Linked DNA regions of Drosophila melanogaster. The gene in region 2 interacts genetically with the main gene of each other region. Each region holds a gene or a part of one and is shown on either strand. Other genes may lie near its edges. The genes, in order: mid and HGTX.

Region 1 (8,019 bases), on a different chromosome or scaffold from region 2:
GTGGGGAAAATTGTTGAAAAATTATTATAATTATTTACCAAAAGCTTATAATGCTTTTTAAAACGAAAACTGAAACGTTTCAGATCTATCTGTTCAAATATCGAATAAAAATTCCAATTAAAAAAACGTTGCTAGTTTTGGTTCACATATTTTTATTTATTTTTGATTGGTTTTTGTATGTTTGTGTTTTTTTTTCTTCATATTTTTCGTTTAATAATTTTTGTTTAAATATTTTTCGTGTTTTCACTTTTTTTAGCGTTCACATTGAATACATATTATGGTTTTACTCTCCTTTAATTTATGCTAAATAAATCTTTACGTTTTCGCCGGATAAATATAACTAACTGAAGCGTCTATGAATTTACTGTTAATACTATGAATATATCATTATATATAATAGCATTACTAACGATTTATGCTTACACTACATAGCTATATATAGTTTACAATCGTGCAGCGTTTTATTTATGTATATGTATATTTTTTTGTTTTGCTTAGTTTTTGAGTGAATTTCGTTCTAACTTTACACTGAGATGAGTTTTCGAACAACATTTAAACATTTGTACAATAAGTTAAACTAGATTACAAAAATTGTCTAGGGGAAAGTGAGAAGAACTGTACAGCTTATACATAATTTAAGATTTTTACAACAAATAGAGAAAAGTTTTTCTTTGCCTTCATATAAACAACAAATAATTTACAACATTCAAAAAGATGGCTAACCTTTTTTGTGTAGTTTTCACTGGGCTTAAAGGTCGTCTAAATTGAAAAATAAAGCTAAAGTTTAAGCAATTTCATTGACTGAAAAGAAACTCAGCAGTAATATTTGCCAGAAACGATCTTTTTTATAAGAAATCATATCGGAAAGCAAAATATTGTATTAAAAACTTTTTGACGATTTTTTTTTTACGTTTTTTTTTAAAGTATTTTCTTAGTATTCCAGGAACTTTTTTGCATTTAAGAGACGACCTTTAACCCCAGTGCTTTCACTTTTTAATACTGCTCGTGGCAAGAACTTGGTGGCGTGGGCTGTTAACTTAGTGGGCGGGGCTGCGTGAGGCGTTTACCGCGGGTGGCGAACCGGCGGCAGAGGAGGGTGGCCCCTGACCGCCTGGCAGTTGGTACGGACTGAACCGCTGATACTGGCGCGGTCGCATATCGGGCGACGGCGATCCCGACGACGTCGACGAGGGCGTGGATGCAGTGGGCGGGGGTGGGGGCGTCCGGTTGGCGGCCATCGCTGCGGCTGCCGCCTGCGCCTGCGCTTGGGCCTGAGCGGCGGCTTGAGCGGCGGCAGCTTGCTGATTGGCGCTGGCCAAAAAGCCGGCGGTAAGTTGGGGCCACTGCTGCTGGAACATGTGGAAGGCGCCCAGGCCGGGGGGTGGCGGAGGTGGTCCGGCTGCCGCTGCTGCCGCTTGGTACATTTGCGGCATCATCAGCTGGGCATAGGGGGAGTTGCCGCCAAACATTTGCAGATGCTGGCGTGCCTTCTCGAACAGCGCCATCGAGGAGGGATCACCCTGAGCGGCAAACTGTTGCATCAGCGGATCGGGAAAGAGGCGCAGTGGCGAGCGGAGCTGCTGCTCCAGGAGCAGCGCCTCCATCGGATCGCGATCGAAGTCGGTGAGGCGGGAGGAGTCGCGGAAGCCCTTGGCGAACGGATTCGAATCGATCTTCAGCTTGGTGATCAGCTGATTCTGATAGGCCGTCACCGCGGTGAATACGGTTTCCGGGAATACGTAGGTCTTGTGATCCAAGTCCTGCAATTCCTTGGGATTCGACGGAATGCTCTGTCCATGGCTCAAACGCACCAAATGAATTCTGGGCTGGTAGCGATGCATCGAGTTCAAAACGATCTGGAAGGGAATAGAAAAGAGGGAAAAGGTTTCATTGTAGTAAGTCGATTGAAATTTACATAGCTGGGAATTAGGAAAGTGCTTAAATGATTGAAAGTTATCTTTAATATTCTTTAAAACTTTTCATAAATTAGATAGAAGTATATTGTCCTAAAATTCACTTCTTGAATTGAACACGAACATTTTCCATTTTCACAGCAAAGCAACATTAATCAACGATGGTCTCTAGACTCGCAACTTGGCGAATATTTCTTCGTGTTGCAAAATTATCAATTATTTAGCACTCGCGGCTAATCGCTACCTCAGCATCTGAATGTCTCAGCAGCCGAGTATCTGCGCATCTGAGTATCTCAGTACCACAGCGTCTCGGTATCTCAAGTCAACTCACCTGTCCGTTCTTATCCATTTCGTTATTAGTCAGCTTCACCTTCTCGAAGGAGATAACTTGTTTGCGGAGCGCCTCGCAGCTGAAGGGACTGTCAGGATGGGCGTAGAGGCGTGCTGGGGGGGCGGGGTCGGCCTTGCCGGCCACCAGCCATGCGGAGCGATGGTAGGCGTACCGATACCGCTTCGAGTCCATGGGGATGATGTCCATGAGGACGGCGTAGCGATCGGCGGGCTGGATTTGCCTCAGCGGACCCGAGAAACTGACGCGCACAGTGGGGAACATGCGTCTGGAAGAGGTAACAAAGTTAAATTAATTCGATTAGATTTTTGCTTTCATTGAATGCTCCCTTTTTTTGGGGATTGCTATTGCCACACAGCTAGTTAAGTCGACTATTTATGGCCCAGACACTGGGGCTTCAAGCTGATTTTTTCCCATATTTTCCTTTTCGATTCTCCCTGCTTTGACAAGTGCAGACAATGAAGACAAAAGCGAAACTCTTCCTTCATTTTTTGAGTCACAAACCTGTGTATCCCTCTTGTCTACATCCTGTGGTTTAATGTCCCTCCAAAACCCGGTGACATAACCTCCGGCCAAAAAGGCCAAAGGCGGGCATCGGGGACCGCCCTGATGTCTGCGACTCCGAGGTGTGATTTTTACAATATCATTAAGGTGTATATATATCTATCTATATGTGTGACCTGTGTGCGTGTGGTCAGGTGTGTGGGAGCAAAGGTGTGGACAACCCGTGGTCATTTGGATTGAACTTGTTCCCATTCTCCCGCTGACAACAGCAACGCCCATAGCTCTGATTTTCTCATTTTCTTCCTGCGCAGGTACACAAATGTTTCCTTTTTTTTTGCACAGTTTCCCTTTTGGAGGAAATAGACCCCACACATTCACTCAAATGGCATGAAATTTTTGTTGACACTGCAAAAACCATTTGGCGAGCCAATTTATGGGCAACTGACTTAGGGTGAACATCTTTGATGATTGAACACGCAGACACTTGATTGTTCAATAAAGAAGTTTTGCGGAAAAGTGATGAATGCAAAATATTTTGTGAAAAGAGTATATGTTTGGGTAATGCCATTTGGCAGCAACTTTTACCTCCCAAAATCTCCCACGTTGCTCCACCATTTAAAACTAATGCCTGTTTGCACTAAACTCGACTGACTGACTGATGGTTGGATGGATGGCTGGATGGATGGATGGCTTGTTGCTGGTTTGGATGCTTACCTGCCCGTTTTGGTGATGATCATCTCGGTGCCGAGATCGTGAAAGCGATCCCACAGCTCTTTGGTCTCCAGATGGCACTGCACCGGCTTCAGATCGTCGCAATTGCAGGAGCCGACAATTTTGGGTGCCTTCTGCACCGGTTCCGGTGTTAAACGCTCCTCGCTGTCCTCCGTTCCCGGGGATTGGGGCGGTGTGGAGCAGCGTCCTTGGCTGCTGGTCGAGCTGGTGTTCAGTTGGGATTCGGCGGAAGCTGTTTGTGCCACGGCGCCACCGCTGTTGCGACTCTTGTGTGCCACATTGTTGTTGTTGTTGTTATTGTTGTTATTGTGGTGGTGCTGGTGATGCTGGTGGTGCTGATGATGGTTCAAACGACGCGCCTTAGTCGGTGGCTCCTCGGCATCGCTGCAGTCGACCACATCAACGTCAACCTCATCCTCCACCGAAATGGGACCTTAAATGACACGAGAGGAAAAAGCGAAAATTGAAAATTAAATCTGAATTACACCGTTCGTTTTGGAGGTAATGCAAATTAAAATGCAATGCACATGGGAAAAAGCGTTAAGTAAAATCTCTAAATTGAAGCCTTCAATATATTTGGCACTAAACACTTTAAAGATCACAATGTTTCCTGAATTTTTCATCACTTTTTCCTTCATAACTTGTGCGTCTTATTAACGATTTTTCCGTTGTGCATTTGGCCAAAAACCGAGGCCGTGCTTCCGTTGACAACATTGAGTGGTGGAGCTGATTTCGCGGCAGACAGCGTGGAGTCGTCTCATATTCTTGGAGTTTCCGCTTCGCTTCGCGTTTCAATTGCAATGAGACAGTGCGACGACGACCGCTGGCTTAATTGTCAAACTGAACACAAATCGGCAATTAAACAGCCCGAAACTCTAGCTGCGATTGCTCTTTTCCATTGCATAAACAAAAGCGGAGGGCTTTCGTTCAAGGTGTGTGCGCAAAAGTTGATGAATAATATTTTTGGGCTTATCCATGGGCGAACTCTCACATACGCTTTCCATTTTCCATAAGCCGAAAATGGTAACAAAATGATGGGGAGAACTAAGCAGCCCGGTTTTTTTGCAGGTGAGCCCAGACGGTAGGTGTTAAAATGCAAAGTAAGCAAACGGAAAACGGAAAGCGACCACAGAAAACAAAAAAAACAAAACAAAATATGAAATTAAAAAAGCTGCATATTTGATAAAGAGATCGTAAAATACGAACACCTCGTAGCGTTTTTGTTTTGATTTCGGCCGTCGCTAATTTTCTGCGCCTCGTAAAATTAATAAAATGAAGCACATTGTTGAAAATTAATTAACATAATTAGCAGCCTTTGTTAAATATGAATTCCGCGCGATTAGATGCTGTGCACAATTTGCATATTATCATAATATCGGCCACAAAAGAGCGCTGCAAGTGTTTGCTAACAAATATCTGGATTCGCGATCTTTGGCTCGACTTAATTGCGAATGCCGTCGGCCAGAGAGAACTAGTTTTTTCTTTTTTAACGTGGCCGGAACGCCTGCTAATTGTCATTAGCAATTAAATGGAACTCTGCGCACCCAAAGCGACAACAGTAATTTAATAGATTTGTTGTGCAATCAATTAGCGATTGTCTTGTGGCTAATAATGTTTGCATTCGCTGGTCAAGTTTGCGGTTCTCTTCTTGGGCGTTGAGTTGTTAATCACGTTTAATTTGAATTAATCGTATAAAAATTCCATTTTTGTTTTAGCAATTTCTAGTTATTGTGTGCTGGTATGTTAAGTAAGTTTTTGTACAGAAAGCACTGCTAGGAGATAAGTGAATATCTAAAGTTACAACTACCTACTATGATTAAAGATTGTTGAATTAGGGAACTTATAGCTTGTCAAATGAAGTTCTAAACAAAAGTACCCTATGGTATTTGAGACTACAGAAATGAAAGTATCTTAAAGATATTCTACATCTCATCAATGAATCTTGCTGTAAGTCTGTTAAGCCTAAAAAAATCTTGTTTAAAAATCACTATATAATCGAAATGCTTAATATTCAAGGCATTAAATTTCTAATGCATAAAAATATATTTTTAAGAACAAATTGTTCCTATCAACCGATTAATGATTCTGCCGCTTCCCACAGAATTCCTTTCTTATTAAGGATATTTTCAATATGTATCTGAACTTACTTGCACTGCGAATGGAGGACTCCCGACTGGAGGCATCTTCGCGAGCCATGATGGCGGCGATGGAAAAGTCCGTCGCTGAGCCGGCGGCACTTTTGCTAGCCGTTGTTGTTGTCTGTCCACTGGCATTTGGTGCTGCAGGGGCGGCGGGCACCCCGTTGCACAAATACGGATGAGATCCAACCAGCATTTTGAAGGGTATGATGTTGTTCTTAATGGGGCTTTAACTAGGGAATACCTTGGAAAGGTATTGGGGTATTGTATCTGGTCACTTTTCAACACTTGGCACTTATAAAGCTAGATGCATCTTTAGCTTTGGTAACTCGAGGGGTATGTGTATGTTTCAAGGTGTAAGTATCTTGTATCTTTATATCTCTCTTGCTTTCTTTTGCTTATCTTTGGCGCACGCGAACTGAGAATCTCGCGGACTGAGTGTGTGCGCAACGGAAGGCAGGCGACGACGAACTGAATTGTGTCAGGAAAATGTTGCCGCTGAGAAGCCAAAAACGACGGCAGGCGCAAAACTCGGGAAACCAGTTATTCCTCTTATGGTCCCTATGTGTGCAAGCGAGACCACCCTACAGCGAGCCGCGCCAGTACGAGTGCAAGCGGGATAGCCCTATAGCCGCACACTCTGAGTGAAAACGCCACTCGCTCTCTCGTTTTCCAATTGGAAAATCGGCGGGGGAGTGAACGTGCGACAGAGAGAAAGGCGGCGCTGTCAGCAACTTGCGCCCCTCTCTTTTCTTCGCCTCACCTCTCTCTCTGACGAACGCGTCATAACTCATTTACAATTAAAAATGTCGGCGCTTTTGGCCTTCTCCCTCGCACCTCTCTATTTCTCCATAGCGAGGTCTCTTTCTTTTTATTTTTGCCTCTCTTTCTCGCCCATTTATGAAGTGCCAACGTTTTGCTTGCGGTTTTTCTTGGTCTTTTTTTTTAAACAACTTTTCGCCGTTGTCGTCGCATTCCATTTCCTGTTATCTCCTCTTCTGACGTTTTCTTCCATCTTCCGTCTGTTCCATTTCGTTTCCAACACGTTCCGTGTCTCACTCAATTCTGTTTTGAGTGAGTTTTATGTCTCTGTTTTTTTTCTGCAGTTGCATCCCGTTGTTTTTCCTTTCTTATTTATCTGCAAGGACATGGACCTTGAGTCAAGGTTATTGCAATGGGACGTTGGGAATTTATTAGTTTGAGCTCGAGAAATTTTTCTGTGCTCTAAAAACATGAATAAAGAGTGCGAAAATAACTACAAGTTTATTTAAAATGTATATGCAATTTGAATTTATTTCGGTAAAGGGAAGAACATATTTTAAACAATTCGCTTAGTACATATTATAGAAGTCCATTTGAAAACATAGTATATCTATAAGCATTAGTCAAGACATTTTTATTTGTAAAGCTATATTTTTTTATATTCAAGAGGATATGATCATGAAATTTAGATTATGGCGATTCAAAAAGTTAACAGGGATATTTTTCCGTTAGTAATTATATACAATTCCACACGCTGTATGATAGAAGCTAGTCCTCTGGAAAATTCCCCCATAATATTTACAGATGTCAACAAATTGTTATGTTTCCCAGGCAAAAGTCAAGACCTTTGTCAGTGCCAATTAACCCGCTAAAAAATGCAAAGAAAATGCGGCTGCGACAAGGAAACTCGAAACAACTGACAGTTCGTCACATTCATTACGTATTGCTCGGATTGCCAATTGCCATGACGGAAATCCTGCGATCCTGAAAAACGGAACGCGGAGATCCAAACTAACTAACAAGCTGACTAATCCCGCTTATCCTGTGCGAGGAACAAACCGTCTTGTTGTGTGATTTTTGTAATTTGAGACATTTTTTAAGTCGGGTAGCGACAAAGTGGGCATGTCACTTTGACACTTTCGCCCTGGGAGAAATGGTGAAAGTGGACGGGGAGGGATGCGTCGTGTGTGTTCTGGTTACAATTGCAGTTAAGTTGATAGCTATAAAATGTTTTATCAGCATTAACAAATTCAAAAGCAAAACGGACGATAGCATTATAGATTGGGATAACTTTAAATACAATTTTATGACACAAGAACGCTGGTTCTAAAAAGTAGAGTGCATACTTTGATTCTAGAAAAAGGTTTACACTTCCTTTCATAAAAAGAGCCTATGTTCCTAATATGTTGGCCTTGTCTGTGCATCTACATGTGTGTCTTTTTAGGTGGCAGTCCCGTATGTCACCAAAATGTCAAAAGCCAAGGAAAACACAAGTTGTGAAAACAAAGGGCGGTCGATCTGAAAAAAAAGTGGCCACTTGGCACTTGTAAAAATAAACAATTCTGCTTGTTAATTAGTGCGGCTAACTGTCCTCGTTTGACTTTCTCCTTGTTATGTCCTT
Region 2 (5,275 bases):
GACAGTTTTCTTAAGTAACAATTTACTTAAGTGAGAACGATTAGCTTCCCGTAAACTTCAAACCATTTTAAAGTAGTTCGCATATTAATATAAATATTGTTATCCCTGATGTAATATTTTTCTATATGTATGTTCAAAATACTGTGTAGTGAATTGCATAATCATTTTAATAAGCCCACCCCATTAACTAATCCTCTCCAAAGTTTATTTCCCTTTCATGAGAATTTCGCGCAATTTGTTCTCAGCCAGCCAATTTTTCTGCCCACTCATGGCGAACTCAAACACACAATACGGAATTTGTTCGAATTAATTAAAGACCATTAAATAATTTGTCAAAGAATGAGTTACGTTTCTGGTGACCGAATCGTTTAAAGAAAAACCCAAATAAACGAATCAAATCACATAAACGCCCTCGTTAAAAATAATTAAAAATGTTATGGCAAATTGTCATCACCCTGTCAACCGCGCCCCCTCCTTTCAAACCACTGTCATGTCACACAATTGGTCTACATTTGAGTGAAAAAGTACAAAAAATGCGACGCAGAGTGGCTGAAAAACCAAATCATTTTAGTGAAACGACAGCGTCACAGATTCAGATCCCCTCCACCATTTATTTTCCATATAGACCACGTTTTTTGTGTGTCATTTTGATTTAATTACAAACAATTTGACAACTAATTGCTGCAAATTTTAACGTTAAAACGCGTATCTCATTACGTTATGTGGTAATTTTGCAATTGGATATTATAACCATTTTGGGTTTCGTAGAAAACGGTGTGCTCAATATCCAAAATTGCCCTGATTAGGTAAAGCGACCAGGGGGCGTAATGACAGGGGGGTTGTGGGCTGGGGAATGGCTTTTATTGAATCATGGAATCATATGGAATCATGCCAAACCGGATTCGTAAACAAAACAACAATTTTCGGTCGTTTTTGTTCGACGAGATTGCCTTTTTATTTTTCTGTTTGGTTTGCGAAACGAGTTTTTGAAGCATTTAAAATATATCTCTTTTTTTCTTTGGCTTTTTGAGTTCGGTGCATACAAAATATCTATTGATTCGTGTCTGATACATATGTACATATATACACATATTTCAGTGTTGCATAATGACTAGGTGCATTGAATTGGGAGAGACAATTGTAAATAAACAGGTAGCGTATTATTATTTCATTTTTATTATGCAATTAAGTTTAATAGTTATGCGTTCAAATTAGAGCAAAGTTCTTCAGCATTAAGCAACACATATAGCAACTTTTTGGAAAGCGCTTAAATTTAAATGGAATATTTTGATTTTTCCAAATTTAGATTTATGTCAATAAAATTGTAAAAACAAGAACCATTGTTTATGTATTTTATTTTATGCATTATTAAAATGTGTGTTTTAACAAACATCTTTAAGAAGTTCGAAATTTATTAAAAGTCCCCAAATCATGGCCTTATACACTTTCTTCCTTAATATAATTGGTATAAAATAACAGGGTATAATATATAATAAACCCAACCCATATTAAATCCATTCCTTTACTCACCTCCTGTTAAAGCACTTAGACCCGCCGATGTCACCGGCGGTGGTTTGGAGAGGATGGTATCGATGCCGTGCGGATTGGGTGCACCCTGGCTGTTGGTGTTCGTAGTCGTGGTGGAGGACGACGATGAGCTGCCACCGGATCCGCGATCACTGATCAAATGCGAATTCGGGCTGTGGCTATAGGACAAGCCATTTGCCGACGCCGACGATCCACCGACTCCTTGACCCTTCATTTCCGTGGTCATCGAGTGAAGAGCGGCCAGCGGGGGACCGAGAAAACTCAGTGGGAGCTTGTGGTCCATGTGGTTATTGTTGTTGTGACATCCGGGGTTTCCGGCATGGTTGGCATTGTGCAAAGCCAGTGGGTTCACTCCATGATGGTGCTGGAACTTTGCCCTCTGGCTGCTGAGATTCTCGGGACTGTAGTCGTTCTGGCCCTGCGGCGGTGGACTGGCGGATTCGCTGGTCTGGCATGGATCCTCCGCTCCGCTGCTCCTCTGGCTCAAGGCATACGACTTGGCACTGTCCACACCGGGACTGGAATTGTGTTCGTATCGCGGAGATGGCGAGGAGTCAGAATGGAGTCTAGAAGAGGCGGGTGGCGGTGTCGTCGATGGCGAGTCCGAATCCTTGAGACCTCCGCCATGTGCCGCCTTTAGCAACATTAGCGGACTGCTGTTGTTGTTGTTACTGCTATTATTGTTATTATTATTATTGTTGTTGGCATAAACGGCCGCTGCCGCCGCTGCACTGTGGTAATCGGCCAACTGTTGTTGATAGTCCGCCGCCGCCATCGCATGGGCATGGACATCCGCGAAGCCATTGCTCATGGCCGCCGCCAAATGATGACGTTGAGCCGCCGACGGGGGACTTCCCTGGGCGGCGGCCGCAAAACTATGATGGCGCATATACGGATTTATCAGATCCATCTCGGGCGCTTCGTGGCCGTAGTCCAGGCACTCCGGGTGCTGCTGCGGTGGTGCTCGGTAAAATGCCGGCGGAAGGGCCAAGTTAAAGGCGGAATTGGCGGACAGCTGGAAGCTCTGGGCCAGCTGCTTGGCCGCCACCTTGGCGTCTGGCGGTGGAGGCGTGGGCGAGGGATTGCTGCTGCCACCCGCCGGCGTAATGCTCAGGAATGGACTACCCAGCTTGGGATCGGTCTACGGATAGGTATTCACGCGGAGAAGATCGAATCTTAACGATTTAGGCTTTTCAGTTTGGTTATAAATAGTATTTAAGCAATAGCAGCTTTTTGTTCAAATATTTTTGATTAATTACTTCTATGTAATTAAGACCAAAAAAATTATTTAAGGGGATATCCTGCTTTATGCTTATAAAACTTATTGAGTTCCTTAATAATTTTTTGGAAATTTTGTTTAACTACGTATTTTGCTTGAATTGTTTTCAATTATAATGTCAGCACTTCAGTTTCCGATGTACGCAGTATTTATATTTATATAGGGTTTTTAATATTTTCCGATCACGATACGATTAAAACACGTAAATCTATATATTCAAGATCAAATGATCAAATGATCTTGAATCCTTTTTAGCACAAGCACGAAACCGATTTTGTCAAACGGTTGAGCACGAAAACGTTTATTGTTCAAATCGTTCTTAGATTTTAAGAAACTACACTTGGCATAATCGATTTGAACGAGATCAGGCTATATGGGTAACTCCGTGGCCGGAAAATATCGTAGTGAATGAAGACCCGCGCGTGTCCGCTTGTTTAGGCCTACGACTAACGAATGATTTCGAAATTGACTCGACTGGCCCTCAGTCGCACAATCTCAGTTTCAATTTCAGTTTCGGTTTTTGGTTGGGGGTACGGCTTTCAACCCTCCGCATTCCGATTCCACTTCCACTCGCAGCATCATCTCTAGAGCGCGCGAGGGAGAGAGTCGTATATGGTTGTCTTGCTCCCCCATATCGATGTGTCTCTTTCTCGCCCACAAGAGTGTTCCACAATCAGTGTAAACATGAAATGCAGACTGGAACGCAGTGGCATTGGCACAAAACGAATGGGAATTTTATTATGTACATCATTAAAATCAACTATTTCGGATTCGGATTGGAGCCTGGGACTGAAACGGGAACTTATCCTGGCACTCTTGGTGTGCTTTGTCTCGCTTGCACCACCATCTGTCCTTTTCTGGCCAACTGTTTCCTTGAGGCTGAGTGCATTTTCATGGCTTTTTCCCTGGGTCGCTGGATTGTGGGTGGCCTTTTTGTCGACTGCGAATTCCGTTTATTTGTTTAAAAAGCTATAAATATTGAGACGAAGCTGGCAGCTTTTTTCGTTGGACTTATTCATTTAAATAATTAAAAATTGCGCTGGCGATAAATGAGAGCTATAAATGTAAACGAGAAACTATAGGTTAAAGTAGAAGTATTTCAACACTTTTTTTAAATGTTTGTTTGTAATTAATTTAATACAAAATTCTGTACTTAAGTAATATAACATAAATATGTGAAATGTTATTAATTCGCGAACTGTAAAGAATATGCCTATATAGTTTTATTTTTTAATTACTCTATATTTTAAGGATTTTTTTTAACCATATACCAAAGACACCTTTTTCTAGATTATCTTATAAATTATTTTCAGAAATGTGAGTCCCAGCACAGCATACCAACATATATATGTATGTATCACGTTTTGTACCGCTCACACTTTCATCACCGAACTGAATTAATACGCTAATTAACATTTTAATATTATTATGTGCCCGTCGGTGGGCCGGAGGATTGTTAACCCACCGACGGCCAACGAATTATATTTATGTTTATCTATATAAAAATACCGCTGTTGCTGGTGTTACACACACACACACATACTCTGACAGGCAGACGGGTGGTCCACATACAAATACAAAAATGCGCTTCATTTAATAATAAACTACACACAATTTTAATTTACTCAGACAAAACGGTGAGATCTCATAGGAATGAAATGGGATGTGGAATAGAGGGCAAGGCCACGCCCACTAAAATGAGAAAGGGAGAGAGAACTTGGACCGCCATTGTGAATGAATGTGAGTGAAAGTATGAAGGAGCGAATTCACTCAACCGTTGAGTGAGTATCTCTATCTTTTGCTGGTCATTTCCACCACAGCTTGTTGATTTTCGACTGTGTTCTTTATTTAATTGACTTTGCCGACCCATAAAAATGAAGACCTTAAATACTCCTGGAAGCCTTACCCATCCATTCGTCTCTCCTTTCGTAGTTCGTCTAAGCAGCCCTCATCTTTTGCTTTGATCTGAAACAATTCCCCATAAATTTATGCGTGGCAGAAAACATGTCATAGAATTTTCTTTCATCGTAGTTAACAGATCTTTAACGAAAAATATTGAAAAATTTACACTTTAAATTTTAAGGTTGCCTGTAAGCATTCAGCTTTAATATAAAAACTATTGAATTTGTTTAAAAACGAAAAAGTTAATTGTAAGATTTATATTATCAATATAAGTCGTTTGTCACTACATTTTTTTTAAGACAACTTTAAATACAAGAAAAACATAATAATACATACCCTTAAGAAAAAAAATAATATTTTATAAATTCATAACTAAATCCATCAAGTCTTTTTTACAGTATATTTACAGTGTTCATAAATTTCGGCCCCACAAAAAATCTAACAAGACACTAAAAACTTGGTTAAAGATAACAAAACTACACAAGCCCTAACTGTGATTGATTTATTGTTTTATTGTGCTAAAAAAGAGAAAATGAAAGAACTGAG

The links.
Region 1: of HGTX (region 2) and mid, changing one enhances a phenotype caused by changing the other (phenotypic enhancement), as found in Drosophila melanogaster (one study listed by BioGRID).

Annotation. Positions count from the first base shown.
Region 1 is NT_033779.5:5,459,731-5,467,749, reverse strand, and holds mid (midline), read right to left. Parts: upstream 6,112-8,019; 5' UTR 5,833-6,111; coding exon 5,646-5,832; intron 3,932-5,645; coding exon 3,481-3,931; intron 2,531-3,480; coding exon 2,245-2,530; intron 1,857-2,244; coding exon 1,038-1,856; 3' UTR 140-1,037; downstream 1-139.
Region 2 is NT_037436.4:14,596,256-14,601,530, forward strand, and holds the start of HGTX (HGTX), read right to left. Parts: upstream 3,286-5,275; 5' UTR 2,681-3,285; coding exon of another isoform or gene 2,459-2,680; coding exon 1,531-2,458; intron 1-1,530.